Cricetulus griseus: one gene and its partner. The protein of the gene in region 2 purifies or fractionates together with the protein of the main gene of each other region. This does not show direct contact. Links are inferred from orthologs where the notes say so. Each region holds a gene or a part of one and is shown on either strand. Other genes may lie near its edges.

Region 1 (15,730 bases), on a different chromosome or scaffold from region 2:
AGCTTTGGAGCCTATCCTGGCCTCCTGAGTGCTGGGATTAAAGGCCTGCACCACCAACACCCGGCCTTGTTTTTGTTTTTTTGTTTTTTTTTTAAGTCCCTGTATTTTGCCTCTTGAAAGAAATCCCATGTGTCCTTCTTTATGCAACGTGATTTCTAGTAACAAACAGAATGCTGGAATTTGCACCTCTGGGCTTGATGGTTGATTGGAATTTGGATCTCTGTGGGCTTGACGGATGTTCTCTGGCATTTATTTTTCTTCTTTAACATAATTAATTTCTTGATAAATGAATAGCACATGAAATTGTTGCCCTTTGTTGTTGCTAATGTATGGAGAATAATTAAACTCATAAATAACCATAAAATAATTGCCTTAATGATAATGTCTTTACATGGGTAACATCTTGGAACAGTTAGAAAGATTCATTGGACACACTCCTGTACACAGAGCCCATTGCTGGGATATATTTTTGAATGAACTTTGCTTCTCTTCCTTTTATAGTAAGATGTTATTCAATAATATGTTAAATAACTTCATGTCTTTGATTGTTGTTTTTTCCTCTGTACTTACAGACATACCAAGTGGATCTAAAGCCCAATGGGTCTGAAATAATGGTAACGAATGAAAACAAAAGAGAATATATTGAGTATGTATGCACATATTTGTTACATTTTATTTGTGTGTGTGTGTGTGTGTGTGTGTGCGCGTGCGCACGTGCGCGCGCGTGTGGTATGTGTGTTCATTTGTCTGTGTGCAGGTGTGCATGCTTGGGGTGTAGGTCAGTGTCGTATCTTCCTCAATCACTGCTTATCCTTTTTGTTTTGTTTTGTTTTTTTAATAAACGGGGTCTCTCAATGAGCCTGGAGCTCATTGATTCCACCGGGCAGCCTGGCCAGTGTGTGCCATGGACATGCTGTCTCTACCTCCCTGCAGAAGGGGCACACCACCATGCCTGGCTTTGATTGTTTGTTTGTTTGTTTGTTTGTTTGTTTGTTTCATGAGTGTTGGGAACCAGAAGACAGGTCCAGTTGCTCAGCAAACACTTAAACAGCTGAACTATCTTCCCAGCCCCTGTAACTTTTACCTTTAAGAAATTAAATGACTTATTTGTTTGTTGTCCTTTCCCAGAATTGCTCGTGCATACTACAAATATGAACTTTTGTTTTGTTTTGCTTTTGTTTTTGAGACAGGACAATTTGTTGTGTATGTCTAACTATCCTGGGATTTGCTCTGTAGATGAGACTGGCATCAAACTCACAGACATCCACATACCTCTGTCTCCCCAAGTGCTGGGATTAAAGGCATGTGGCACCACAACTGGCTTCTCCATTTAAATAACAGCAATTTCTTTTTTGCTTGGCCTACTGGGCAATTGAATGTGAGAGAGAAATGTACCTTCTCTCATGGCTTTAGTGAACTACCCCTAGAAGAATGCAGCAAGAAGAAAGAGTATCCATTATAGTAAAGTGGCAAGTGCTCTCCGGGGATGGATGGCTTGTCTGAAATTCAGAATTGCAACCATGGGAATGTTAAGTGCTAATGGAATAGAATTAGGGATTGCCAAAAAGAAAATATCCTATCTCCTGACTTGTCCATACTGGAAGCTGAGGGAAATAGTACAAACGTGGTGAGTTCTGATAGTTGCTGTCTGTCAACCCAATCTCAGACTTATTTAGTAGAACAAATTGTTGAGTCCTGGAAGGCTAGCTCCTGAGGGACCCTAGACATCCAGAAGGCAGAAGGAACTCTCGGTTGAATCCATTACACACAATTCTGGCCTCTTCTGTGATGCACTCTATACTAAGCCTGGGCTCCAGTGAGGGAAATGTAGGCGTGTTTGCTTCACAGGTCCTGGTTTCTGTATGTTTGTGGGTTCAGCCCACACTGAGCTCATTTACAGTCTGCACTCCCTTTTAACAAGATAAATGCCCTCCTCTAACCTCATTTGAAATAGGTCAGTGGCTTGAATTCAGAGGACAGGCTAGGGTCTTCTATTTAGTGTAATGTGAAGAAAAGCCAACTGTCTGTCTAATCAGGAAGAAAAGGAAAGTCTTGTGGGCTTTACCTGGAAGACACTGAAGCCTCAACCCCTGTGGGAGATTTTTAGTTGGTTTGGTTTGGCTTTGGTCACTTTCAGATGAAAGTTCATGGCACTTAATAAATAAGCTAGAAGTAAGGTACTGTGATACGTGTCTGTCATGCTAATTGCACCCTTGTTCTGACCATTGTCAGTTTTATCGGAAGGCACCACTGGCCTTCTTTGTAAAGTACTGGTGTTAAGTGGTTCTTTAAAAAAATTATCCATCCCAGGATAGCTGAGGCCTGAGGATGTGGACATATGTCACATGGGCCAAGGTCAGGCAGGGTCTCAGCTATATAGGACTAAAATCTCCCCACTGTTCACTGACCCCCGTGGTGCCCTGGTACTTGAAGAATACTCCTGGGCAGTGAATTGCGGCCTAGCCCTGTGGTGCCAATACAGCCAAGTGCTGTGTGCTGCAGGCTGCTCCACTCAAGCTATTGTCATGTTGCCACCTTGAAGATGAGGCCAGAATCCGGATTGCTCACACTGAACACTGTCTTGGGGACAGTTTCAGTGACTTTCAAATTCTGTCAGTCATCTCTAAACTTTAGTATTAAAAGGACTAGTGTGAGCCAGATATGGAAGCACACACCTTTAACCTCAGCACTGGGGAGGCAGACCCTATCTCAAACAAATTATTTTTAAATATTAGTGTGTATAATATATGGTATGATGAACTACTCTTAACAAACACACGTTCATACTTACACATACATGTGAATATGTGGATATGTATAATCACATCCTATGACTTTTTTATTAACAGATCTTTAACTTTTTATTTTTATGTGTGTGGGTGTTGTGAATGTGTCTGTGTATCATAATGTGTGGCTGGGTTCCTTGGAGACAAGAAAAGGATGTCAGATCCCCTGGGACTAGACTTACAGACAGTTACCCATGTGTAAACTGCCATGTGGGTGCTGGAAGTCAAACCCGGGTCCTCTGGAAGAGCAGCCAGTGCTCTTAACTGCTGAGCCATCCATCTTTAGCCCACCGTTTCTTCCTTCTTTATCAAACCATGTTTGTGGAGTACTTGCATCCACTGAGGCTGGATGAGGGCCAGCAGACCAGGTACTCAGAGAGAGTGTAGATTTCTCACAAATGTAAAGGAATAGAGGGTCTCTCAGCAGATGTGCTATAGCAAGCCCCACCCCACCTTGCCTTCTATTGTTCAGGATTCTCTGCTTACTCCACCTAAGGAGCAGCAGGCCCAAGGATAAAGAAAGCGTGGCTGGAAGGTGACAGAGGTGACTAAGCATTCCTTTTTCTTTCTCACAGCTTAGTCATCCAGTGGAGATTCGTGAACAGGGTCCAGAAGCAAATGAACGCCTTCTTGGAGGTAAACACTGCTGATGGGGTGAAGGCAGGGACAGCGTGCAGAAGGCCAGCACAGGCAGCTGACCCTCTTGGCCATTGCCTGAGGTGGAAATGTTCCATGATGCTCTACCATCATTTTATAAGTGTTCTCTTGCTTTGCCTTTCTCCATTTTTAGTTTGTTTTGACTGCATTGTCCCTTGCTTGCTTGAGACCAAGTCTATATGGCATACACTGGCCTGGAGCTGATGGTAGTCCTGCCTCAGCTTCCTGGGTGCTAGGATTATACTGCCTGGCTTCCACTTATGTTTCTTTTGAATTTATTCATGTATGTGTGCACACAGGTGAGGATTAGAGGATAACTCTAAAGAGGTGGTTGTCTCTGTGGGACGGATGTGGGTCCCAGGTCCTCAGGCTTGATAACGGCACATTTACTGGCTGAACCAGCTCACTAGCACTTCCACCGTATTTAAACCAAACATTTTTCATACCTGGTCTAGAGCCGTAAACCTGGAACTTCTAGCAGTGCCCAGAGGAGGTGCCTGCTGCTGTGCTTCCAAAATTAGTGCCCTCTCATTCAGACCTTACCCAAGCCAGGCTCATAGACTTTCCCCACAGAGTCCTCACTTCTGTGACACTGAACTTCCCACAGAGTCTCCCCTTTTCATGCTCTGGGTTTTTAATGTTATATCCAAATACCAGCTTTGTCCCTGTGATGGAATCAAGTAAAGATGCTTGTAGCCGCTAAGTCTGATTACCCGAGTTCAAACCCCAAGTGCCACTGGTAGAAGGAGAGAACCAGGTCTTACAGGTTGTCCTCCAACTTCCATGTATGCATGAACACACATAAGAAATAAATTTTGAAGGGAGAAGCCCAAACCCCATGGTATTCATTTCTAGGGCCCTCTTTCATGGAATAGTTCTCAAGCTCAGTGACCTGCACATCATGAAGATGGCCCTCCCCTGAGCAGGAAGTGCAACTATGCCAGGGCTGGGGGACATAAGGTGCAAAGGTGAACTTGGTTATGGCACCTTTTGCATTGTATTTAAGGGAGAAATCCCAGGAAGCAAATTCCCAGCCCCACCCAGCTTTCAGATTCCCAGCCCTGCCCAGCTTTCAGGAGCCACAGCATCTAAAATTTCTTCCTGGGTCACCCCGTAATTAATGACAGCCCAGGACAGAGCCTGGCTTGCTGTTCTGTCAGTTCTCTGTGCTGGCTGATGCTGCTTCCGTCTCTCCTCCACCCATGCCGTCAGCTATTTTTAAATGTGTCTCTTATACGTTTGCAGTCTATACATTTTAGGACACACTGACTCACGAAAGTGTGTCATAAGTTGCCTTTGCAATCCACCTGCCTACAGTGTCCCTAGTATCACAGAGTTGCAAAAAATGTGCAAGTCCTGGAAGCTTCTAGACTGTACTCATTTTCAAGCCCCTATTCATGACTTGGGATTTTGTTGGGATTGTGGTCACCTGACACGGTCCCTGCTACGTGAGCCAGCGGAAGAGCGAGCCTTCTCTGGCTGACCTCTACCTATGAAATTGTTCTTTTTCAAAGAAAAAAAAAAGGTGCTTAAGATGTTTTTATCTTTTCCTTTCAGGGATTTACAGAACTTCTTCCAATCGATTTGATTAAAATTTTTGATGAAAACGAACTGGAGGTTTGTTTGATCAGCATCATATTTTATACATAAAGTAGATGATTTTAAGTATCTCTTTACTTTGCAAATGACATTTTTTGTATGCTCTAGCACATGACATATTGAATGCTCTATTCCAAGGCCTGTCTTCGGGCTAGCCTGGGGAGGCTAGCAATAGTAGCCAAGTGAATTTGTTGCCTGTGACAGGGCAGTTGTAAGCACTTCTAATGAGCTGCTCAGGCCAAGCAGACTGCGTAACCAGGCTGAGCCAGAGCCCTTTGTTGCAGCCCAGTCTCCACCTTGGCAGGTCGTTGTAGGACTTGGCCACACTATAGCTGTACTCCTTTTCCAGAGTCTGTAAAGGAGACGGGACCTTGAACTTGAAGTGGCATGTATTGAATAAGGATTGTAGGAGGCCACTGGGTAGTAGCAGGAAGTGTTTGATGAACGTCCATCTCAGCTTCTCAGCTTCGATGGAGATGAGGGAGAGAGCAACTTGAAAACCAAAAACACATCTCACCTTGGGTTGTGTCAAGGCACAGAAGGAAGGAGGCTGCATCTGTCCACAGCTGGTCTCTCCAAACCCATGTCCAACAAAGCATGTCTCAGAGAATTTAAAGTGGAAGTTTCAAGATGAGTGTCATGAAAATTTTGTAGCGCAGGCACTACAAGTTTATAGAGGCTGTGAGAAGTGAATGACCTCGCAAGATGACTCAGCCAGGCTGGTCCCAGAGGCCTAGGAATCAGTTTTCAGGCTTTGGGAATGGTTTTCTTCCTATCATATTCATTGGAAACTCTTATGATAAGAACAAACTCTAGGCAAGTACTGATTCAGGGGACTAGTTCCTGCCTGGGCACCCACAGGATGCTGGAAGGATGAGGTTGTCACCTGAATTAACCCATCTGGGGGGATAAGTTCTTGCTGTCATGGGGACAAGTAATAGAAAGAATCCTATGTATCTGCTAATGCAGTACAGGGGACTCTACAGCAGTGTGCCTGAGCACATGGGCTGGAAAGATAACCAATGTAGTCCAGCTCTTGCATGCAGGTCAATTGAGAAAACCTCTCTCTCTTTCCCTTCCTCCCTCCCTCCCTCCTTCAATCCATCCCTCTACCCTTCCCTCACCCCCCTTGAACTGCTGGCTTACCTGCTTGTCCAGTTATACACACCAGCACAGAGAAGAGAGAGTTCTCACCTTGCATAGCCCACCTCATTTACATCTGCTCAATTTCCTTACTAGTTGCTGATGTGTGGCCTTGGAGATGTCGACGTTAATGACTGGAGACAGCATTCTATTTACAAGAATGGCTACTGCCCCAATCATCCTGTCATCCAGTGGTTCTGGAAGGTAACTGCAGCACTCTAGGCCCAACCTCTGCTTCAGGCTCTTCCTCCAAATCAGGCCTCTTGGGGGAAATCAGAACGGAAGCTTCTTTGGGAATAGTAATGCCTTCAAGCTGCCTCATCCATGTGTAGAAGTCATTTTCTGGACTTTTCTTTCTTTTTTTTTTTTCTTTTTCAGAGACAGGGTTTCTCTGTGTAGCCTTGGCTGTCCTGGAAATTGCTCTGTAGACCAGGCTGGCCTCAAACTCAGAGATCCATCTGTCTCTGCCTCCCTAGTGCTGGGAGTAAAGGTGTGTACCACCACCACCCAACGTCAACACTTTTTTATTCCAATAACCATTTTGATTTTTATATATTGCAACCTGAGATGCAAATTAAATCTCATTTGCTGTCTTAAGGGCCAATGTTTGTATTCTGTTGGGCTTGGAGAAGGATTGGCAAAGACAGTAAACTAAACATTTTTAAAAAATAAGAGATTATTTACATACAAGAAAAGGGGGAATCAGCCTTGCATGATAGCATACACCTAAACTCCAGGTATCACTCATACGCCCAAGCCAATACAATGTGAATTTGAGGCTGGCCTGAGATGCACAGAAAGTTCTAGGACAGCCTAAACTGCTTATCAAGCAATTTTTTATTTAAGACAGGGTCTCACTGTGTTGTCCTGCCTGGCCTCAAAACAGATTCACCTGCTTCTGCCTCCAAAGTGCTAGAAATAAAGGTGTACACCACTAAAACTGATAGGTGCTGATTTTACAAAAAAAAAAAAATGAGAAGAAATCAACTATCATGTTTTAACTTCTGAAGGTCTGTTATTAATATTTCAAGTATCAGTAAAAATACAGAGAGAAGGAACCAGACTTTTCAAAGACTGTAACTTGGCTTTGATTTTGGATTGTATTATAGAAGATCAAATCATATGTCCAGGAAGGCTGGCTCCATTCCTGCAGTGGTTAGGATCTGGGAGGCACACAGATTGGTCCCAAGGCCCATTTTTACCTGGGGTTTCCTTCTGCTTATCAAGTATCGTTGGGGATCTTTCTGTGTCCATATCACCTGGCTTCCTCTTGTTTTAGATACTTCTGGAAAACCACCTGGTTAGAACTAGCTTCAGGGAGACCCCAGGCCTCAAACCCAGAAACCTGAGCTTGAGGCCCTCCAAAGAGTTTTCTTTGTATATTGTTAATTTTGGCCTGTTGGCAAAAGAAAAAATGGGACCCAGTGATACTCTAATATTAGAGAGGCTGGGCTGTAGCAACCATCAAAAAGGGGGAGGCGGTGCCATTTTTCAGAGTCGATAGTGTAGGTGATTCTATGGCAATGTAAATGGGAATTTGGTTGCCTGCCTAGGTCATGGCAGGGTGTACTGCATGGTGAAATCATGACAGTGTGTGCTGTGTGCTGCCTGGTGATGTCATGACCTTCTGCCTCTGGCAGGCTGTGCTCCTGATGGATGCTGAGAAGCGGATCCGGTTACTACAGTTTGTCACAGGCACCTCCCGAGTACCCATGAATGGATTTGCCGAACTTTATGGTGAGTGTGGCATGTCCCAGGCCCCTCTGTCCTGCTGTGACCTTGGTCACTTTCCAGATCAGTTTAACTACATTAGTTCCATAGAGACCCATGGAGATGAAGAGGCAGGGGTTCAGGTAGTGTTTACACAGACAGCTTGAAGGTTTCTCCTCTTTTATCGTTTTTCTTTCTTTTTCCCCCGCCCCCTTCCCCTGCCCTCGCATAGTTCAAGTTTTGTGTTCAGCTTTTAAACCCAGATTTTTCAGGATCCTTTCTGCTCTGCACTTCAAGGCTCACATTGCATTACTTTCCCCTAAAGCAGAGAGGCTGCAGCAGCTGCATCTGTATCATCACTGCCACGCCTGGTACAGTTCTGTACTGGGGGGAGATAGCAGTGCAGACCTGGGGATTTCCCACAGGACTCACTGGGCAGGCCCCACCCTGATGCTCCTCCCCTCCCCTTTCCACTAAGTCCCCCCAGAACTTTGTTCTCCTGCTTCAAGCCCTGTTTATCTCTGTCTTTTTCTCTCCTCCCACCCCCCTCAGGTTCCAATGGTCCTCAGCTGTTTACAATAGAGCAATGGGGTAGTCCTGAAAAGCTGCCCAGAGCTCACACATGGTAAGTAATGAAATCCCCATGGGGCCTGGAAAAATGGCTCAGTGGTGAAGGACACGCACTTGTTGCTCTTTGAAGAGGACTTGAGTTCAATTCCCAGTCCCTCCATGGCTCATAACCATCTGTAACTCCAGTTCCAGGAGATTTGATTTTCAGTATACACATGGCACACATACATGTAGGCGAAACACTCAGACACATATAAATAAATGAATCCAAGCCTTATAAGCTCAGTTGGATCACTGGGACCCACATGGTGGAGATAACCAACTCCAGCAGATTATCTTCTGACTTCCACATGCGTGCTATGGAATACACACATGCACACAACGATGTTTAAAAGATAAAATTAAGGACAGAATTCCCCCATAGCAACATCAATTTAAAAGCCCTTCTATTCACACAGTCTGCAAGTGACCCATGGGCTGTGACACCATCAGAAGGTCTTCTCTGGCTGGAGAGGGAGGAAGAAGCCTCATTAATTAGCTTAGAAGAGTCACAGGACACCCAGCACAGAGACAGACATGGCTCAGTGGATTTTAAAGCAACATTCAGCAAGCTCTTTTTTTGTCCAAACTCAGTTGGGGGTCCCAGGTTTCTGCACAGATTTTTCCTTCCCTCTTGCTTTGGAGGAAGTGGGGGAGTGCACCCCCGCCTCTCTCAGCACAGTGAGGGTCTACAGCCCACTGAGCTGACATGAGCATCCTCTCTCACCCACAATGCCTGTAAGAGCCTTTGTAAAACCTGGTAGTGGAGGAGCTGGCTGCTGTGGGTGCCCTTCCCTCACCTGAAGAACCATTTGTGATTCCGTGGAACAGCATGGTCTGTCCTGTGTGGTCCTTTTGCCATGCACACTGATTTCCAGACTGAAATTGGAGCAGGCACTGTGCACAGTTCTCTGTCTTTATCCTGGGGGAGGATGTCTGCAGAATTCAAACAGCTTCCTTTCAGGGCTAAAAACCCTTTTTAAATGCTCTTGAACTGGGTAAGACAGAACATTGAGTGAGTTGCCGTAGTCACCATCTTTCGAGCACATGCTCCCAGCCTCTTCTGCATATATTCTGATTTGACCCTCCCTTAGTCCTGTGAACAGCCTTTTTACATTTGAGCAGACAGATTGAGAGAAATGAGATGACCTGGCCAACGTCACAAAGATGGCAGGGACAGGGTTTGAACTTGACCCGTAAACAAGTGGGCTTGATTTCTTGCAGAGGCTATCCATCTATAACACTCTCAAAGGGTGAGCTATACCTGCCCCACCCTAGTGGAAGCCTTCTGAGCTGGCTCTCCCTGAACCTAGATTGTGGCCAACTGGATAGCAGAGGTGGCTTAGCTTTCTGTAACTCAGGTAGCCTGGGCTCTGCTCTAGGATCTGCACCATTCCTAGGAGTGGGACCCATGGTTCCCTGGCTTCACCTCCTTGCATAGGGATACGCATGTGCAGGACACCTATCCTTAACCTGCTTCACACCTACAGAAGAGCCCTTGGCTCAGGCATGCATGATGGACCAGTGATAGTGTGAGAAACAGTCTGTCCTTTCTTCATTCCTGAAGTGTACATGCCTCATGCTCCGTGGGTTTTCTTTTCTTTTTTAAAAAAGGTGGTTTTTTCCTTTTTTAAAAAGGTGGGGTTTTTTAATTATTATAATGTGTGTAGTCTCTCTCTCTCTCTCTCTCTCTCTCTCTCTCTCTCTCTCTCTCTGTGTGTGTGTGTGTGTGTGTGTGTGTGTGTGTGTGTGTGTGTGTGTGTAGCATTTGGTGCACATGCTACTACTAGTGTGGTCAGAAGACAACTCTGATTCTCTCCTTCTGTCTTTACGTGGCTTCTGGGCATTGAACTCAGAAGCCTGCAAGCACCTGCAAGGCTGAGGCATCTCACCAGCCCACATTTTTAGTCTCTCTGTGGTTGTTGGTGATTGTCTTGTCTTTGTGTCTCCATCCTGGCAGCAGAGTAGTCATGGACAGTTGAAAGGCTGTTTTGTTTTCCCCATTGACTGTATAACCTGTTTGGCATAGACACTTTCCTAACTAGAATTTTGCTTTGAGTAATAAAAGTATGGGTTGTTTTTTTTCTTTAATTATTCCCTTGCTCAAACAGCCAATGCCCATTAGCCAAATCAAGAAAGTGCTGCTATGACAAGGAGGAAGGCAGCCACTCACCACCACTATCCATTCCTTTGGCAGCTTTAATCGCCTTGATTTACCTCCATACGAAACCTTTGAAGATTTGCGGGAGAAACTTCTCATGGCCGTGGAGAATGCTCAAGGCTTTGAAGGGGTGGATTAAGGCCCGCTGCATCGGGGGCACTGCCCTTCCAGCAAGTTCTGCGTGCACTTTTGCATTTGCCTAGCAGACTTTTGCAGAGCCGGTGGCAGAAGCAGTTGCCTGGGCTGGCTCTGGAGGCCAGCTTGTCCAGGCCGCACCCAAGTTCCGCCAGGGAACGCAGCCCCAGCTCAAGTGCCGCCCCCTTTCACCACCAATTCTCAACTGGTTGGCGTGTACATTGATTACATTTCAGGAAGACTTGTTCTATTTATGTTGTGCCTCTCCAGGCAAAGCCCTTAATAAATATTTTGCATACTTTCTAATGACAATGAATGGAATTAATCACGATACAGGTATAGTATTACAAAACTCATGTTTACTTTTTAAAATGATTTAGACTGATTTTCAGATTTTATTTCATTACAATTAAAGATGTCTCATGTACTTGGAAAAGTGAGCATATTTTTTTTGTATTTGAATTTCATATCAAGCTTAATGTCGGTGACATTTTTATTTTTGAAGTACTTTGACACTCCCGCCCTCTACTTTATTAAAATTGGAAGACTAATTTTTCTCCAAAAGCCTTCTACAGACCAATACTTGGAAAGAATTTCAAATAGAACATTAAGTTTAACAATTTTTTCCATGCTCAGAATGAAAATAAACTGGATATTACCCTTTTTTGTACAAATTTAGATACTAGGTACAGGCTGGAAGAATTGTAACATAGCATGATATCTTTGTGTTAACTTGAAAGGAATGACACCATTGTTCCTTAGAAGTATTGACGTGTGTCATCACACATTCAAGACAGGGTTGGACTGTCATTTCACATCGGAAACCCTTAACCCTTCCTGTCGCCATGCAGCCTCTTCCTATGATATTTTCTCTTTGGTGTTTATAGAGACATTTCCAATGGCACTGCTTGATTCAAAACTGAGGAAGCCAGAGTCAGTGGTCTTCTGTCTCCGTTGGCTAAACAGTAGCTAATAAACCATTCTTGCTGTAACTGTGGCAATTCCAAAGGCACTTTATGCAGGTCATATCTTTTTTGGGTTTTTTTTTTCATTTTTTTCTCATAAACATTACATGTGATTGTTTCTTCCTCCCTGCACACATCTGTCTGGTGCAGTATCTATCCATTGTGAATTAGGCTGCTAGTAAATCCAGATGTTATGCTGAGCCTCCACACCAATCTTCTCCAACTGTTTTGTAATTTCTACTCGACAAATCATATTTACTTACTATACACTTAGCCGAGTCATGTGGCATAATGACCTATTTTGCATGCTTCGATACTGTGTACTGCCCCCCCCCCCAGGTCATGTCTATTGTGTGCTAGTTTAAAAGTGAGCTAGAAGACCCGGTGGGTTCCATTGAGCTCAAGCTGTCTGGTTGGCAATGGTGGAGGAATGTAAGTGTCTACAGTTTGTAAAGTCTCTGTTGCAGAATTCTGTTGTATTCTGAGAAGATGCCTGAGGCAGTGTGGGAGTTCAGCACCCCTGCTGTCCCTTTAACTTGCGATGTCCTAGACCCTGTCCTGGAAGTTACGGGACAATGGGGTATTTTGATCTCTTGCCAGTTGTGAATATGACAAAAAAGACTGTGATCTCTGCTATGTAAGAAGGACCTTTGATGTAAGAAATTACTCGTGTTTACACAGCTGTGGGTGCCATGAAGAAGCCATGGGCTTGATGGGTGAAGCCCCAGAGGGTAGAATCCTACCAAGCTGAGCTTTGGCTTCTTTTCCACATGCTATCGAGTAATTATAAAAACAATTAACAATCTCTATTCTTGCCTTCTGGTGAGATATTTTTTTCTCCTGTGGTTAACAGATGTTGGGGGCAGGGGTCTTTTTCTTTTTTTTAATAACCTTCTGTCTCCAGAACCATCTCTCTGTTGCAGAGTGTGCCAAAGCCTGAGCTGCAAGGTGTATTTTGATTGAAGAAGAAACCAAAATCTGTTCTAAGAACTGGGGTTCTGTAACTCTGTAGGCTCTAGATTGAACCACATTATTCACTAAATACAAAGTATTCATTTCTGCATTTTAAAGAAATGCAAAAAGGGCCAGCAAGATGGCTCAGTGAGTCAGGGTGCTTGTCACCAAGCCTGACAGCCTGAATTCAATCCCTGGGACCCACCTAATGGAAAGAGAGAACTGACTCCTGCAAGTTGTCCTATGATCTAACCCATAAATGATTTTTTTAAATTAAAAATATGAAAAGAAAGACTTAATTCTGATCATTTCTAAGCCAAGAGCAGAGAAGACCTATTGAAGTACACCCCTGGGAGTACTTGAAAGGCAGGCCATTGTGGATAACACTTCAGTCCATTGGTCCATAATTCAGATTTTAACAGTTGTTACTGGATTAGAGAGCTGGCCTGTTAAAAAGTAAAAACACAGTTCCCTGTCCCTCGGTTTGTGAAGTTTCACTTGTTGCCTAAAATGCCTGATGTCTTGTCTCCAGATTGTGATGCCCTCTCCTGGTCATCTTTGTATGATAATTGTAAATGACAATGGAGAGTGGGGCCTCAGCACTGCAGCCAGCTGCTGCAGACAATAGTTAGGGATCATTTACCTTGAGGCTGCAGAGTGGGTTCCAGGACTCTTACTTCGCTGTAGAAGAACTTTGAGCATCATTTTGTCTGTCTTGTGTTTCTCTCCCTGCCCCTTTTAGTCCATGGCAAGCCTGGATTAGACTACTGACTCCATAACAGGTAGTGGTAGGCATTGGTCTATCCAGGTGTCTTCAGTGTGTTTTCCTTGTCTGTCTGAAACACCAGTCTCTACTTTTCTGTGGCCGGTCAGCTAGTGGATCACAAGAACCAGAGATGTGTATTTATTTTTGTTTCCAGGGACGATATAGCTTAGTGGCAGAGTGTTTGCCTAGCATGTCCTTAGCAGTAGATTTAATCCCCGTTGCTGGGGGCAGGGAGGGGGGTGGATAAGATAAAGAATTCTGTTTCCAAGGACCTTAAGCAGGAGACAGCAGTGAATCCTGACATTCAGGTCAACAGGGATTTAAAGTAACTTGTCACACATCTTTTCCCCCATAAAGACTCAGTGGAAGATTTATGGAAGTGGGTTGCAAAATAATTTAACCACTTGTGCATCTCACATGACCTGTTGCTCATGGTCTCGCCAGATTCCAGTTTGTTCTGAGAGTCAGGCTCATGTGCAGCACCTTCCACCCAATGTGTTCTCTATTTTCCTGATATTCTTGCATCTCACCTCTGAAATTTGAAAGTCTACAAAGAAAAGCCTAGGTTGCTCAGCTACCCAGCCCCTCCCTACTGGGCTAGCTATTTTTCTGTCTGAGGCTCTGTATCTCAGTAACAGAAGGGAGATGCTATTGGTTGTCATTTGCTTCCTGGCCAGTAGGGGTGCTGCTGTGCAAGGTCACTGCCTGCCCTGCTCCCTGTCTGGCTCCCAGAAGACCACATGCTACCTCTGTCTCAAGCATTGGAGAATATCCTAAGTCAAGTCAAAACTGCCAATTTCAGGACTAGGATATGTTAAAAATAAAAAAACCTTATGAACTCCACTTTGTACCTTAGATTTTAAAACTGGGTAGAAATGTGATATACATTGGACCACTTTTTAAATTTATATAAGCCTTAATGAACAGTGTATACACATCTGTGTATGCACTCCATCCCAGTGTTTTCAGTGTGCCAGAGAAAGAGCCGTAGTGTTAGGACATGAGCCTGTCTAGGGTTTTCTAAGAAAGGGGTAACTTTCTGTCTGATATGAAATCTTCCTAGAAAACTTATCATTCAGCATCTACCCTCTATTGAAATGTTAACCCTCCCAAGCACGTGTTTGAAGCAACATGTCTCTTTACTGGTTTTGTATTTGTAAGGAGCAACTGTAGGAATCTAAGGGCGTCTGTTGGTGTGTGACCTCTTATGTCCTAAATTCCCTCCACTGTGTCTCAGTGTATTCAAAGACTTTGCTGTGACCATAGCCTGTGTTGAGAGATGTCTGTTCTTGTGTAAGCCAGTCTACACCTCATACTCAGACTGCTTTTTACCTACGTTGTCACAGTTTCCCTCATGTTGACTCTGTGACCGGTTCTTCCTTTTGCTACCCCACATGTAACATATATGCACATATATGTATGTATGCTGTCCAAATATATTTGTATATATTTGTATAGCATTTTTCACCTTAGAAGTAATCTGGATTCAAAAGGGAATGAGAGCTAAGTCCCGTCTACAGTTTTCTTCAAGTCATGCCCTGAAAATTCTGACCCTCGGCGCCCAGAGAACCCTAGAAAGGTATTAGCTTGCTATCATTTCTTAATTGGGAATCTGTTATCGAATGAAACTTTAAAAAAAAAAGTGACTTTGAAGGTGAAAAGAGTTTCAAGCATTCCAAGTGAATTCTCAATGTTTCTTAACTTTTTATTCTAACCCCACCCCCTAACAAAGCTGAGTGCTATTTGATACAATGGTCAAAACCAAACTACCTTGACATTTTTCTAAGACAGCGTAATGGCTGATGCTCGCTTTCCCAGTCCAGAGAGCTTTAACAGAGCTTGAATCTGGTACATGCGCCAAGTTTCACGGTCCAGTCCTCTTCTCTCTTCTCGAGAGATCTAAAGTGATACTGTAGCTTGTTTTCCTGACAGCAAATGAAAAAATGTGACAAAGTGAAGTTGATGTAAAGCGGTGATGCAACTTGTCAAATATTTAATAAAGAATTATGAAAGCTGGAGCATTTCCTACATACGCATTATGGGTTGTCTGATTTAAAGCTTCTTCAAGAATCTGTCATTTTAATCGTGTCACAGGTTAGAATGACTACAGATTTAAGGGGTGAACATTTCCTTACTCTCCAGGAAGAACCCACCTTAGGGATGAAGTTTGCCCTAAACAGATGGGGTAAGCATAGGAAGAGGTTCATTTGCCCTCATCCATATGCTAGGTTTTATTTTTTATTAA
Region 2 (15,864 bases):
TCAGCTTCCTTCCCGTTCACTGACTTAACCCCTATTTATACTTATGGATTAGGTGTGCCCAAAGAGTCTAGTTGACATACCCAGGGTCACACAGCTGATGTTTGTGGACATGGAATGTGAGTACAGCTTGGTCTCTATGTCGGCCTCACATTGTGTCACCCCTGTACCTCTATGTTTCACTACTTTCTGATGTTGTCTGCTTCCTGCAGGATATCTGGGAAACTCTATCGCTGAAACTTGTACAGGCACCTCCTCGATGGCATGAGCTAAAACCCTGTGTACTACCATCACCAGACCTGCTGAATCTATGTAACACATCTTGTAGGCACTGGCTACTGAACAACAACCACAAGAAGGGCATGCTTTATAGACTCCTAGTAATCCTATAAAGATCCCTCCTTGGGGAGAGCTAGCAAGGGTCCTAGCAGGCCCTCAACCTTTGCTGCATGATACTCATAGAACCTACATAGAAGAGGAAAAGGCTGAGAGCTTCAAGCCCTGGCCCCTGCTCTGGCTTTCATGTCTCCATAGTCAGAATAGTCCTGAAGAATGATGCCTCCCATGGAGAGTTCTACAAAGCTTGCATGTGACCGGCTAGGAGACCTCCTTACCCTGAGGCCCCTCTGGCCTGACTCTGCAGGATGCAGTCCAGTCTGGGAGGTGGGAACTTTCCAGAGTCTCCAGGTGAGGAATGAAGTGCTGTCAGACTGGGTTTTTTAGGGGAATTGAATACAGGGTGGGGTTCCAGCCTGCTCACTTGAAGTTCTGTGTTTATCCACTCGGGGTAAACAGAGCCCAGCAGCCGCTTGTTTTCAGAGACCCCCAGGCACTAAACAGAGGAGCTGTGTTTGCAGAAACGGCTTTTCCTGCACTCAAACCGTAATACAAACAAATGCATTCTGTCCCAGAGGTAAAGGAAAAGTCTGAGGAGCTCCCCAAACGCTTCACAGTCACACTTGAACACTACACTGGGGGGAGGGCAGGGTTCTGGGACCTCACACCAGAGGAAGGGGACACAGTCCCTTTGCTTTCCAGCTGTGGGAACCCATGGTCTGTGAAGACAGGCAACCCCACAAAATACTGGATACCTACATTCTGGACTTAAGTGTGTCCCCCACACAGCTCAACAACCCCCCCCCCCGCAACACACAGAGAGACTATGCTCTGATTCAGAATTATAGCCTTCCTTCTGGGTCCCCTGGATGGATTCTAATCCAGTGACATGTGTCCATGTGAAACATAAAGGAACAACACAGGATGCTCAGGCCACAGAAACCAGACTTAATAATGAAAGCCCCCTCCCCCAGAGCCTTCCAAGTGAGCATAGCTCTGCCCATGCCTCAGTCTCAAGACTCTGGTCTTCAAAGCTGTGGGTTCTCTACAGAACAGAACATACCGAATCCACCTGCTGGCAATGAACAGGCTGTCCTGCCTTAATTCATCTGGTTTACTTGCTCAGGGAACAAACACTAGCCAGCCAAGGACCCTCAGCTTCAACACAGCCTCTGAAGGCTAACAAAGTGAGAGGTGTTCCCACCCATACAGGCATGCCTCTGTGCCCAGTCCTATCTCACTGTACCTTAGGGGAAGCTAGTTCAGTTCCCGGGATCCAGCCGGATTGGGGACAGGGCTTGAGGCCTGACTTGGGGCAGATACAGCAGATAGTAGAGGGGTCTGGCCTTCAGAAAACTCTTTCACCTGTGGGTGCTCACACGCCCCCCCCTTATACAGATGAGACCAGGAGCAGGGTAGGGTGGGGCCATACTCCCCTTGAGGAATGAGAGGAGACAAAGGAGATGACTGTTCATTGGCACAAGGCTACAGAACTCTGAGCCCGGCTGCCCCTGTCCTGCAGCACTCAAGTTCTGATTACCCTAGAGGTGCCAGGAACACAGCCTTGGGCTGCTCCCACCAGACAGCTGCAGAGACAGCCGCTGAATGAATGGGGGCTGTTGGCCCCCTAAGCTGGGTGCTGGGGGGCCCGGCAGCCAAGGGCACAGGGCCTCATGGAAACAATGGCCAGTCCAGGGTGCGCTGTGGCCGAGGCCCGGGCTGCAGCTGACAGAGTAGGCCGGAGCACCGGTGCCAAGCTGGGCACAAAGGGGCCGTGTTCCCGGCCGGCGGGCGGATGTTTGCACAGGTGTGGGAGTGGGGGCGCCTCTCTGCCGAGGACTGGGGGGCCAGGGGCCAGGGGGCTGGGAAGCAGCTCCTACAGGAGGCTGGGAATGCAGGCAGGGCAGCACCAAGCCTGGGCACTGCTAAGGTTGGACACCACTTAACAGCCACACTGTGGGCAGTCACCCACTCACTTCCTGCTGTGTCTCAGCCAGCATTGCCCACCTCCCATCAGAGAGTTCTGACTTGGAGTAGCTTGCTCCCCTCCCCATGCAGGCCCAGCTACATCCCTGGGACGTGTCCCCCTACCACAGACAAGCTTCCTAACTGAGCCACTGAGTTCTCCTACCATTCCTGCTTATTCCTGTCATACCAGGGTATCTGGAGACTTTGACCCCCAGAATGGTTAGACAGAGATGAATCTTGGGTCCTATCCCAACCTGGGAGCTTGTCAGTATGTTCTTATCTTCCCTAAGTTGTTTAGAATGCTGGAAACTTCTGGAAAACAGACTGACTCAGCCTGTTAAGAGATCCTGCTGTGTGCCCTGCTTCCTGGGGGCACTACGGAATTGTGGGGACATGTGTTTGCCCTAGCTTCCAGTCCCCACTTTATCTAGAAGCTCTGAGAGTCAGCAGGCCTCAGAGACTGGTCATTCCTGGTTGGGGTGTTTGGGGCACTTAAACCATGGCCCAATGCAGCCACCACCACCATGTATGACTGCTTGCCCTGCACCACGTTCCCAGAGCCTGTGCTGTCCCTTTCTAGCCGTCACAATCTAACCAACCTTTTCACAAGCCTAGTGAGCTCCAAGGCCAACAGACTGAGAGTGCTGGTAGGATGGAGTTGGCTCTGGTATCCTCATGCCCACCCAGGGGCGCCAGCCCTGGCAGCTCCTCCAGGCATGATAGTTCCTCTTTGTATAACATCTAGACAGCCTATTGCCCTTACAGCTGAGGGGGTGAGATAGAATTAGAGTCAGGGGGAGTCCACAACTGCTCTGAACTGTGTGCTCCTGTCAGGTATTCATGTTCCCTATAGCTTAGGACTCCTCAACATTCAATGTGCAGACAAAGCCAGCTCTCAGAGGACCTGAAGGCCATGTGGAAGCCATCAAAATCTGGAGGACACTGACAGTCAGAAAACACCTTAAATTGCCTTAGCCAGAGGGTTTTAGACCCTGAGCAATGGTTCCAAGGTCATGGACCAGTGCTCTAAGAGTGTACCTGGATTTCTTCAGCACTATCCTCACCAGAACCTCTCTCTCCTCTGCCTGCTGACTTCTGGAGAGTGTCATATCCGACCCCCAACACACACACACACACACACAGAGAGAGAGAGAGAGAGGGGGGGGGAGGGAGGGAGGGAGAGAGGGAGGGAGGGAGAGAGGGAGAGAGAGAGAGAGAGAGAGAGAGAGAGAGAGAGAGAGAGAGAGAGAGAAGCCTGCACACAATATCACTACACCTTAGGACAGTCAGTCCTAGCATGAGAGGTCATCTGTCACACACCAGGCTCTACACAGACTGGTAACTCAGTAGTTTTGGAGTCGCCCTATCCCAGGAGGCCTATGACCATCTTCATAACCTTAGGGCCTGGCTGTCACTCACACCATTGCTGCCTGAAGCAGTGAAGGACTGTGCAGACCTCACATCCACAGAAACCCCTGCTTCTTTCTCGCAGCCCCCAAGGACCATGATGGTATTATGTCATCTCATGCCTTGATCCCTGGCACAGGTGTGTTCCCTGGGTCAGCACAGACACCAAAGACATGTAAAGTATGCATTTGACCCCTCCCTGAACTCTGAGCCCAGGATCCCTCCAGGGTAAAGATCACCACACAATTGAGGTACCAAGCGCCACTATGCACTCCCTTGTCCCATCAGCCTTCCCTTCCAAAACAGAAGGTAAAAGACAACAATGTTCAAATTGCAAGGCTGAGACCAGGGAACATTCACTGTAGTACACAGGGACCCATACTGTAGGCTTTAAGTGCAAATTGTGTGGGTGAAAAGTGCAAATTGTGTAGCAGCCTCAGTGGAGGAGGCAAAACAAAATGGAGCAAGTAGAGCCCAATACCCTAACCCTGCTGCCCAGATCCATATGTTTCCCACCTGAGACACCCCAGCTAAAGATTCCAACTTACCACCCCCCACCACAGAGCATCTGCGTAGCTGCCAAACTCGATGCGGCCGGATTCGTTCACTGCATCTTTCTCAGCCAGGTAGACAAAGTAGGAGGAGAAGATAAGACCCAGAAAACCAATGTACAGGGTGGTGATCAGCTCCTGGGGACAGATAACACATCAGCCATGCTCACATACCCTATGGTGAGAGAAGTGCCTTGGTAGAAAGCTCCAGCATTTGTTAGATTATACTATGTTGGCTACAGCATGCTATACATGCAGAAATCACCTTCCAGAGTAACCCAGTTTTCAAAAATCCTGAAAGTGACAGATAATACCACTTGGCAGTGAGGCAGTCTCAGGCCTCATGCTGAATTGAGGTCCATGAAGCCTCCTCTATTTTCATGACAGGACAAACTGAGAGTCAGGTGTCCCCAGAAACCTCTTTCAGAAAGAATTCCCTCTGGAAGGTTATCTGAGACCCTCACCACTGCAACCATCCTTGATTTCTGAACTTCCTAAATCTGTTCTTCATCTTACATTTTCTATAGGGCCCAGTGGTATTTTGTCCCCAGCCTGAGGGAGGTGGCATTAGCTCTGCATCATTGGCAGGCCAAGTATGCTATCATTGTGGATGTGGAGTAGGTTCAGGCTGGGAAGGCTCTGGGGTTCTGGACCCTGTCCTCAGACCCACATATCTTGTGCTGAATCCTGGGTCACTCAGCTGGGGTCCAGGTGCTAGGTACCATCAACCTTGTATCCCGGCCTTGTGAATCTCCAGCCCTCCTGTTGTAGGTTGGCCAGCTTCTGTCCTGCCCATACCAGGCTCACTCACCTGACGGTGAATGAAGACCACAGATCCCAGAAGCCTCCAGGTACCCCCCTGGCGATCAACATGCAACATCCGCAGGATCTGAAGGAAGCGGATGCCCCTAAGAAGCAGGGAGAGAAGGGTTGAGAGGACCATGGTGGTCACAAGCATTTGCTGCCTATGTTCCTGTTCCCACTAAGCCTCCACTGGGTAGAGGAGACACACATATGTCACTCTGTAATGGGGCCATCTTGCTTCTTACAGGTGCCTGTGAACCCTGACTCCTAGGAAGTGCTAGGGTCAGGCCTTGAACCCAGGATTGCCTACTGTCTCAGTACTATGAACTATGGCCACCCTGCCGTTTCCCCACCCACCATGAAAGAACCAGGTAGAGGGATGGAAAGGCTACTACTTAAGAGGAGGGAGCTTTGTAGTAGGTCCTGTTTCACAGTGAGAAATGGAAGAGCCAACATACCTGATAGCCGATGTGGCGAACACTTGCCCTTTGGAACCCACACAGAGAACAACCATAGAGGCTACAACCACGATGAGGTCTGTGGGAGGGGCAGCTGGTCATTACTTCTGGCATCCAGAAATCTGGCGGGGGGAGGTATCACCACCCACTCCAGGTGACGTGACACTCAACCAAGATGGGACCCAACTATTAAGGGCACAGGAGCAATCTAGATGGGGGACATTCATGCGTGTGTCTTTACCCAAGACAGAGTAGACAGAGCCTAAATTCTGTCAAACCATGCTGAGCAAAAAGAGTCACATTGAAGCTGTGGCTCCAGTGCTGGGGGAGCTGGGCATAACTCCTGCTGGCCTTAGGGCCTGTCTTGTACAAGAATAATGTGTGGAGGAGTGTCTCAGTCCATAGGGACTCTGGGGATGACTGTAATGAAGGATGTCCTTCTGAACCCAGGAGTGTGGGGTAGGATGGGTAGGAGGACTCACCAATGATGGAAATGGGCTTCCGAGCAAAGCGCAGCCGGCCCCAGATGCCCACGTACTTGCTGCGGCAGCCTGCAGACCAGAGGCGGACCACATACTCTGTCCCAAAGAACACCACCAGGACGATCTCCTGAGGAAGATGGCAGTAAACTTGTATCAGAGGCTACCACCACTTAGGCTGGACCACCTATAGCAGGTTACCATGCCAGGAACCTCTGCTGAAGGATACTCAATACTAGCAGGCTCAGGTATCCATCTGTAATAACAGGTGGTACCTATCAGTAGCACCTGCCTGGAAAGGCCAATACACTAAGTCAGGGACCCTGATGGTGGATACTGGTCAGTTACAACTCTCTAGGGAAGACTCCTCACCAGGGTTGGGGGATAATGACTGAGTGTGATAACACAATGCTGTCCAGGTTGTCCAGCTTCATGGAATCCACAGAGCCCAAGCCCTGCACATGAAAGTGAGGGTTCAAAGATATGTCTTTGGAGGATTGCCCCCCTTACACCTCATAGATCTGCTCACTCTAGAGACACCATATCCACCAACTGTGGCCTTTACTGAGGTCTGGGTGCAAGAACCCAACCCATCCAGAGATGATAGAAGGAATAAAACAAAGGGCATGGGCAGCATAGACCAGGGCTCTCCTTGTATCCACATATGACCTCAAGTCACAGGGCTCTGAAAGGGAGGGGTCTATAAGCTAGAGGAACCCAGGCTATACTCTTGGCTACGTGGTAGATGAACAGATTGACAGAAAGGTGAATGGATAAATGAGTAGATGGGTGAGTGGATAGACAAATAGATACACGAGTGGATTGATAGATGAGTGAATGGAAGAGTGGGTGTATGAGGAGATGGGCAGATGAATAAGTGGGTAGATGGATGGTTGGTTGACTAAGTGAAGAGAAAGGCAAATAGACAGCAGATAAATACAGGTGAATGGTGTGAGAACCAAATTCAAAAACAAAGTGGAGCCATTAGCTCTCTCAGTAAAATCAACACCTAGACAGAGGTTCCCTGTCACTTGACTCAGCCTCTGACTACGATTTAGAATTCACCTAGCAGCAGTCTTGAGGCCTGCCCAGTCTCACAGTACTGGGTGAGAGCTACTGTGCTGCTTCCTGCTCACACAGCCTTGACACAAACTGAAGGAACACTCACTAAAGACCTGACAATCACCATGAGAGAGGTCAAGGTGAGGCTAGTAGGGCCTTGCTTTTGATCGGCACATAGTCTCCGTTTCTCTATCCTTCACTATCTGCCTCTTTGATGAAATACCCAAAGGCCTGTCATATGCACAATATCTGGAGGGTGAAGCAGTGGCTGGCTTGCACTGGGACAGTAATGGCAGGGAGCCTGACCTGGGGTGCCCATACTCTGCTGCCAGTCTGGGTTCTTTCCCAGCTCCTGCCACAGGGCTATTGTCACAGGGGCTGACTGTCCAGAGTGAGAATCCCCTTCCTGATTGCACCATTCCTGGGAAGCTCAGGTCTCACTCTTAGTCTCTCTATGGCCTGGAAATGTGAGTGGCCCATTGCAAGTGGGTGATTGGTGGATTTGATGTAAATGCATATTTCCTGGGAATTACATCCCATTCTGGCCCCCAAGGTCTTGAGCCCTATCCCAAACCTGTACCCCAGCTCCCAGCCAGCATTCATTGGTAAGAGGCCCTTGGGGAAGGCCTGGGGTGAGGAGGTGAAACCACTCCCACATATGTTAGGGGACTGTGCAAAGCCACAAACCCGCGAAGCCACAAAGCATTGTGCTGTTCAGGCCTGATTCCAGCTGGCTCCTTGCCTGCCTCCCTCAGGAGCCTGGCCCTGGAGGGGACTTCCTCTTTGACGGGTAACACTGGCTGGCCCTGCCCCCACCAGTGCCATGCCAGAGAGTCCGCCATGAGTGGGGGCTGAATACTGCCCACCATACACAAATGCTCTTAATTAAGACAAAATAGTATACCACCTGGCTCGTGTTTCAGGCAAGAGCAATGACTTGATGGTAGGCCTGGGAGAGATTCACACCTCCTTCCATGTGAGAAAAGCATTTGGCCCGTAGACTCATTGAGAATGGGGGAATATTTGGTGGCTAAGTGTGGGAGAGTAAGAGGGTGCTGGCAATGGTGGGCCCTGTTTGACTGAGCATACCAGGGAGGAACCATAGTCTCATTCACCCCAGTCAGTACTCACTATTAGCCTGTGGAATGAATGAATGAATGAATGAATGAATGAATGAGCAAATGAACAAACAAATCTGTGAACAGCTCGGTTGTAAGGATGTTGATTCATCTTTGTTTCTTGAGAACATGGGCCTGTAGGATTGATGCCCAAAGTACTGTATATATCTTTGGCCAACATGAAAAGCACACTCCCAGTCCCCACCACAGAATGTGACTTTATGGGAGAGAGCTTTTCTGACCATGAATGTCCCCATTAGGTAGTTACAGTGCTAGCTCAGGCAGCAGGCCTCTGTCCCAACTCCATGGGCCATCCATCACCCAGCTGGCTGGTCATCTAGTGCATTTTTCTCATTTAGATGTTTGTCATTACTCAAATACCTCCTTAGCAATGGCTTCTGTTGACTACAGGTGCCCCCTGACCTAATACTTGGAGGAAAACCCATTTGGGGATTGGCCCTGTGAAACGACAGGACCCCCTTACACAAATCTCCAAATCCTATTCAGCATGTGGACACAGTGTGAAGTCTGGCTTCAGAGAGCTTGGGCCCCATCATCCCCTGAAAATGTCTGGCTAGTTGTGTTCAGGGCAGGCAGGGCTGAGTTAATCAGTAGGGCTCAGTGGCTGGTAGGAAAGGGGCTGAGGAAAACAGCCCTGTCCCCGGGTGGGACACAGCCAGATCCATTGTTTGGACAGAGATAAAACAGTCTCCAACACCATCAGCTTTGCATGTATGCTGGAGCTAGGAGGGGTGGCCCTCGGATCAAAGGTCACACTGGGACTCCAGTAAGGGGTTGGCATTTGGCAGGAGTGTGTGTCTGTAGGAGACACACTGTAGGCAAGTTTGATTCAGGCAAAAGCACTCTAGTACACAACAGGGTTAGCAGAGGCTAGGTCAGCCTCTTTACAACAGACCAGTTGTTCTCCTAGCATGCTCACCTGTTCTGTACAAGTAATCCAAGTACAGTCCCAATGTTGAATGAGAGGCCTTAAACATCTCTACAGAACACTTAGATACCTGCTACTACCCTGTGCCCACTCCTACTCTCCACTTGATGTCAAAGGTTACCACCTACCCAAAAGCTCTCATGGCCCAGTGTACCCCAAGCTCCTTCCTAGACCCCAGGCACATCACATCTTCTGTTTTCCATGTCTTCAGAGGCTTGGTATGTCGGATATACTCTCCTAACCCCCGCTTCCTAACCTCTCCTGCTTAGGCCATCCCAGCACCCCTGAGTTTTGGAAGAGCTAACTAAACATCAGTATATGCTCCCCCACCAATAAGAGTACCCGCCGAAAGTACCCAGCATTGTCCAACCCCCTAAAAGGCCTCCCAGAGGAATCCACATGCTGTCAGAATCAAGGACTCAAGGCCAGGGGACATTGATGGAGTGTGGCCCTGAGCTCTGTCCCAAAGACATAAAAGAAAGGGCTGTCCTTGGGCCAACGATCTTGGGCTGAGACAAAAGGCAAGAGAACACAGTGGCCCCTCCCACCCTGACCACTGTTCCTTGGACTAGAGCTAGGCTTAATCCTGGCTGCAGATGACTTCATGGCGGAGACTCCTGTGTTAGGGACAAACAGCAAGCATAGTACATGCAGCTTTTCTTGGATTCACCAAGGCAGGACCACCATGCCTCTTCTCACAAGAGGAAAGAAAGTCCATGACCAAGGACCCGTGGTAGGAATAGACAACTTGGGCCCAAGGCAGAGGATCTCATGGGCAGGGTGAAACATCACTCTCAGGTTTGGGAGTAGACTGTGGCAAGTGAGGCTAGCTGCCCTTCAGATGGTTTACTACTGACACATGAGCATGACTGGAAACACATGAGGAAAGATGAGGTTTGTGGAGCAGCTGAGAGTAGGAATAATGTATACAAGTTAGGGTCTTGTGGGATTAGAGACAGAAACCAAGATATATCTGAAAAGTGGCCTAGGATGGAGGATAGAGACATAAGAGCCAGTTACCAACCAGTTACCTGCTCTGTGACAGGAAATGTCCAGAGTCAGAATAGAAGATGAGCCCAGACCATGCAGGGGCCCCAGGACCTCATCCTGGTGATCATCTGTGCACGGCAGACCTAATGGTTATACGGGTGGGTGGGCTGGCTGTGAAGACCCCTGGGGAGGCAAGGGAACCCCAACTCTGACATACTGGCACTTGTTTCCTCTAGGTCATTGAGGAGTTGGAGAAAGACAGCAGAGGCCATATTGCCTGCTACCCATCCTGAAGCTCTGTCAGAGAAATGAGAGGGGGTGGTCTAGTGACATGCAAACACCAGTGCCAACAAAAGAGGTTTGGACAGGCTCTGAAAGGAACAATCCCAACAGTGTGCCCCTTGCAGGATGCTGTAGCCCGTCCCTTTCCCAACATGTGTGTCCCCACACACATGGTGCGCCCTCTGCCATGACCAGGAAGCAGACCCTAGCCACAGTCTGCTTATTTCCCATGTAGTAAGTGTTGAAAGCTGTATGTCAAAGCAGTGATCTACATACTTTAAAATTATTTTTTAAAACAAAGCTGAGGCTCAGTTGATGGTGTGCTTGCCTAGCATGCATGAAGCCCTGGGCTCCGTTCCCAGCACTGAATAAAACAGATGTGGTACTATGTAACTGGACTTCCAGCACTAGGGACACAGAGACAGGGAGATCAGAAGTTCAGGGTCATCCCTGGTTATGCAGAAAATTTGAAGCTACCCTAGGTTAAATGAGACTGTGTCTAAAACAAACAAACAAACAAAAAGCTACCAAAAGACAATGAAAAACATGTTATTCATAGCCATAGACATTCTATGTCACTAACTGTGGGAATACAAATCAAAACAGATACTGCTGTGTCCCTGCAGCCTGCAGGATGGCTATTAGCAAAACACAGGCAGTGACAGCAGTGGAAGAGGAGGCGGGGCTATCGCACATGGCTACCCGAGGGAGACACAAGATCCAAGATGCTGGGAGCATGGTTCATTGGTTCCCCAGGTCATGAAGCATGGAGTTACCACCCACTCAATTCTGCTCTAAACAAGGCTCCTTCTTAAAAAGAAAAAAGGAAAAAAGTAATAGCCCAGAAAAAAAATACAATTGCTAGACTGGAAAGGTAGTGCTCTAACAACTATACATAGTTGTTACAGCACTTGCCTGGGTGCATGCGGCCCTGGGTTCAATCCCCAGAATCACACAGAAATGCATCAATAAAAATAGAAAGTCTCTAAAAAAAATTTAAGATCTGTCCTAGAGCTCAGCAATTCTGCTTCAGGGTGACACCCAAGTGTAGGGAGACACCCTAGTCCCGCCCAATAGTCCCGGGTTAGTTTTGGATATTTTACATTACTAAGTTTTAATCCTCTTTTAGACTAAAAGGGGAATTGTAGGGAGACACCCTAGCCCCGCCCAATAGTCCTGGGACAGGTACCAAGTGGACCCGGGACTCGCCCATAAGGGCGTGGTGAAGGAAAGCCGGGGTGACTTAAGGGAGCTTCTTAAGGGGCTGCACGTGGGGACCCGGGCCCCTTTTGTTCTGGCCACGCTGGCTGGGTTCTATAACCTAGCTCTGGCCTGTGTTTTGCCTTGGTGTCTTCTTGAATAAAGAGACTTTAATCGTAACACCCAAGAGATAGGCAGGACTTTGAGGAGCTCTCTGTCCACTGTGTTTACTCTGGCAAGGTACACAATGGCCAAAGGCCACATCCCTCAAGAAGACAAATAAAAAAGGCTCCAGACCCAAGAGGACACATCTTTTTCCTTCAGAAAGAAGTGTACTCTAACACAGAATAGCATAGACCCGCTGTTGAGGCACAAACCCTGAAAGATCCCACCCCTAGTACAACTGCAGGCCCTTGAGTTGCCAAAACCACTGGGATGAAAAGCAGGATAAGGTGGTAGGGACTGAGGAGTCAGGGTTTAGCAGGACCACAGTTCATCTGTGAAGACAGAAATTCTCAAGATGGGTAGGTATGGGTAGGGACGGCTGCACAACACTGAATGAGCTTCAGGCTACTGAGCTGAACACTTGAATATAGCCAAGATGAGAGATCTTATGTCTTGCATATTTCAGAAAGGTAGCGATAGCAAGATGGCTCAGCAAGTAAAGGCACTTGCTGCCATCAAGCCTGTTAACTCTAGTTTGATCCCCAGACCCACGTGATGGAAGAACAAAACTGATTTCCTATAAGTTGTCTAACCTTCACATGCATGTTCAGATGCACACACACACACACACACACACACACACACACACACACACACACACACACGTACATGCACAATAAGGAAATAAATGTAATAAAATCAAGAGACAGGAAGGGAAGAGGGCATGGAGTCACAAGGCTTACAGGATCTATTGCCTGCAAAGTACCAAATGGATCCTTATCATGGCTTCCATCATGAGGCTAAGGGAGACAGTGGTGGAGCAAAGGCAGGAAGCAATCAAGGACTTGGGTTCTCCCTAATCTCATTTCACTACTGCAATGATGGAACAGGTTGATGCATGGGCTTAGTGGCACCCTTGAGCTCTGGATGCTCTCAGGGACACCCAGGCACAGATACACTGCCTCTGAAAAGTTCACAGTGGGAACGAAGTTTTTTCATTTGACAGATGGACACTCTTCCCCAAAACTGGACCCACGTGAGCTGCAAGAGATAGGAGACAAAAGCTCAGCATGACAGAATTTCTGACAGGCCTGGGAACACATGTCACATACAAATGCTCCCTACACATGTGCATCAGGTGCTTGGGGGTAACCACAGCAAAGCAACGATCTATCCACATTTGAGCCTGCAGGGCTGACATTAAAGTAAAGGAGGTGCTTTATCTGGATAAAGCTGTAGTGAACAGGAGAAAGGCCTGCACAAGGCTCACAGCCTCTTGGGCAGATCACTGAAGGTTGCAGGTATCTTATCTATTGTTTCATTTTATCAGCTAGTGAACCCATTTCTGGGAGGGTGAGGATCCAGCTTACCACAATCACTCATCTATGGGCCACAGCAAAACCAAGGCAGGGCAGATGGGCTCAGCTCAGCTGCCTCAGATCCTCAAAAGAAAGACTTTTTCCTCTCTCTCTCTCTCTCTCTCTCTCTCTCTCTCTCTCTCTCTCTTTCTCTCTCTCTTTTCCCCAACAATCAAGGGAACTCAAAGATGCTTATCAGGAGTATTCAGTGTCTCTGATGTTACTGTTTTATTATCTTTTTAAGAAAAGAATAATTTGAAAGCTGACTGGAAGATTAACTACTGCAGATGAAGGGTTGGCTTGGATGGGTAGGGGCCCGGCAAGAAGGCCAGCAAAGCCAGGCCATGAGGCCAAAGGCCTAGCTGGTCTCCCTGAGGCCCTCCAGACCCTGGGCAGGGCAAAGAGTACTAGATACCTCTAGGACCCTCTTAGATCACCATTCAGCATAGAGGTGCTGTAGGAAACTATGGCTTGGGTCCTACCATCCTCTCATAGCTAGGAAACCTGTAAAATGGCCATTTCCTGAGCCAGAGGGCTTCCTGTGGGAGGACAGTGCCCTCTCAGCACAAAGCCAGCCAGAAGACTTTGGGGCCAGCTGTTCTGACTCTACATGGGCCCCAATAAGCCATAGAGAGGGCCAGCCTTACATTCTCGGGAGGGGCAGCTGGCCGGAGGCTTGGTGCCGGCATGCAAGCTGCTCAAAGCACCCTTTGTTCAGGTCCTGCCTGTGGCCAGCTGCTCCCAGCCGCCGGCCTGTGCTGAGAACCCATGGGCCCCCCAGTGACATGTGCTGGGCACAGCTGGAGCCCTCAGGCCATGCTCACTGCCCACCCTTAGGAACATCAGCCCCCAAAGGCCACCAGCTAGTCCCAGGTGACAGAAAACATTCAGAGACTCTAAGGGGGTACAGAGTCAGGGTCCCACTGGCTGTAGATAGACCAGGAGCCTGTGGAGAAGTGGCCATATCTATAACAGCCCACTTTGTCCCAAATATCCCAGGAGTCATGGATGCCTCAGAGGCCATAGCTGAGTCTACTCGCTCAATGTGGTAGACTTCCTATTGGTAGGCAGCTTTGCCAAAACCCTCTAAACTGCAGCTAGCAAGTATGGTTGGCTCACCTGAGCCCCTGGCAATCTAAGGTGGCCTGGGATGGTTCAACTTGCTTAGACAGTGAGGGGGTGTAGGGCCCTTTTGCACCAGGGGACCTCTCCCAACAGTGATAGTAAGCTGGTGGGGCCCTGGGGCACAACACAACATAGCCAGGAAGCAGACTTTTCCTCAGGCCAGCCACCATGAAAGCTAGTAAGCAGTAAGACAGAGCTGGAGGCCAAAGCTCTGGCCCTGGGAGTAGGCAGCAGAATCCCACACAGGGCTCCTGCAGTAGCCAGCTCCCAATGGCACTGGCCACAGATTAGCAGCTGCTGTGTCCATGCCCATTAAGGGAGATCTGATTTGGGGGCAACTCTAGGAGACACAGAGCTACTTTCCCCTGAGAACCAGCCCCAACTGCCAGCTGTCTGGGCAGCCATTCTCCACACTGGGCAGAAGAGGCCATGAGGCTTGCTCAGTCACCATGGGGATGGAAGTTCTCATCTACCAGCTTGCCAGGCCCTGAAAGTGGACAACAGCTGTCATCTGGCCCTCCCATCATGGACCCCACTTCAGCAGGTGGCATGAGGCCCAGTGTCCACTGCTATCTGGGGAAACTTGTGTGGGATCAAAACCACAGGGGGCACCTTGAAGACTTGTTGTTTCCCCTGATCTATGGTTCTACATCCACACTGCTGCTCTATGAAATCCCCAAGGGGTGTTGAGGTCCACATCTCCCTTCTTTCTGGTCTAGTGCCCACCTTCTGGTTGAGGCTCAGCCACCTAGGGCCCCTGGTATCATCTTTAACCCTCACTATTATGTTACAGGTGTACGCCAACCCAGCAGGACTTAGAACATTCCAGCTTGAACAGTGACAGACTGTCTCCACGAACTTCCTAACAAGCCCCTCTGGGATGTCCAACGCTCTTAGGAAGCAATAAAAATGCAATCAGTTTGCCCAAGAGGTATCTCTTGAGCACACTGTGCCAGCAGGTCAGGGCTCAGGAGCTTCTGCACCAGCCAGATCACGTACTGAGAGACTAGAACTAAACAGGAGGCAGATGAGGGCAGAGTGAGGAGACCAGGAAGAGACTTGGGCCCCAACAGTGGGCTAGCCCATGCTTGGGCCCATTATCATCAGGGAAAATCCTCCTCAGATTGGAGGCTTCTGGGCCTCAACCTCAGAATAAAGGCTGCCCACCCACGGTGGGAAGGAGAGCAGGCCCTGTGGTCATTTTAATTTTACGTGTGCTGCCAGTGCGGTGTTGTGTGGTACTGACTAGAGTTACATGCGGTCAGGTTGTTTAATGAGCTGCCCCTAGCCCTGGGACCCAGCTTGCTGCAAGCCAGCAAGGTGGGGGTGTTCAAGCCCTTCCCACTCCCTTCCTCCCTGCTTGGGTGTTCTAGAGGTCAAGAGGCGAACATGGGGGTTCAGTGGCCTCCTGATGCCTGGTGGGGGGCAGGGCAGATGGCGCCAGGATATGCACACAGACCAGCCCAGGAAATCCCTGCCCAGAAATGCCTCATCAGCAGATTCAAACCAAGCAAATTCATGCCATCCCCCAGACGCCTCCAGGGTACTTGTGAGCCAGGGCCCCCACAGCAGAGAGTAGGCAGCCTGGGTGCGCTGGACGTGTGTGTCTGCATAG

What was found.
Region 1: the proteins of Kcnq1 (region 2) and Nedd4l purify together in Homo sapiens (affinity purification with western blotting, with the first as the bait; 3 studies listed by BioGRID). This does not show direct contact. The link is inferred for Cricetulus griseus from reciprocal best matches to the Homo sapiens genes KCNQ1 and NEDD4L.

Annotation. Positions count from the first base shown.
Region 1 is NC_048595.1:174,059,149-174,074,878, reverse strand, and holds the end of Nedd4l (E3 ubiquitin-protein ligase NEDD4-like), read left to right. Parts: intron 1-572; coding exon 573-646; intron 647-3,361; coding exon 3,362-3,422; intron 3,423-5,000; coding exon 5,001-5,060; intron 5,061-6,281; coding exon 6,282-6,389; intron 6,390-7,825; coding exon 7,826-7,922; intron 7,923-8,447; coding exon 8,448-8,520; intron 8,521-10,701; coding exon 10,702-10,804; 3' UTR 10,805-11,112; downstream 11,113-15,730. UniProt on the Homo sapiens protein: E3 ubiquitin-protein ligase that mediates the polyubiquitination of lysine and cysteine residues on target proteins and is thereby implicated in the regulation of various signaling pathways including autophagy, innate immunity or DNA repair.
Region 2 is NC_048596.1:58,192,216-58,208,079, forward strand, and holds part of Kcnq1 (potassium voltage-gated channel subfamily KQT member 1), read right to left. Parts: intron 6,131-15,864; coding exon 6,004-6,130; intron 5,601-6,003; coding exon 5,522-5,600; intron 5,168-5,521; coding exon 5,071-5,167; intron 4,398-5,070; coding exon 4,257-4,397; intron 1-4,256. UniProt on the Homo sapiens protein: Pore-forming subunit of the voltage-gated potassium (Kv) channel involved in the regulation of cardiomyocyte excitability and important in normal development and functions of myocardium, inner ear, stomach and colon.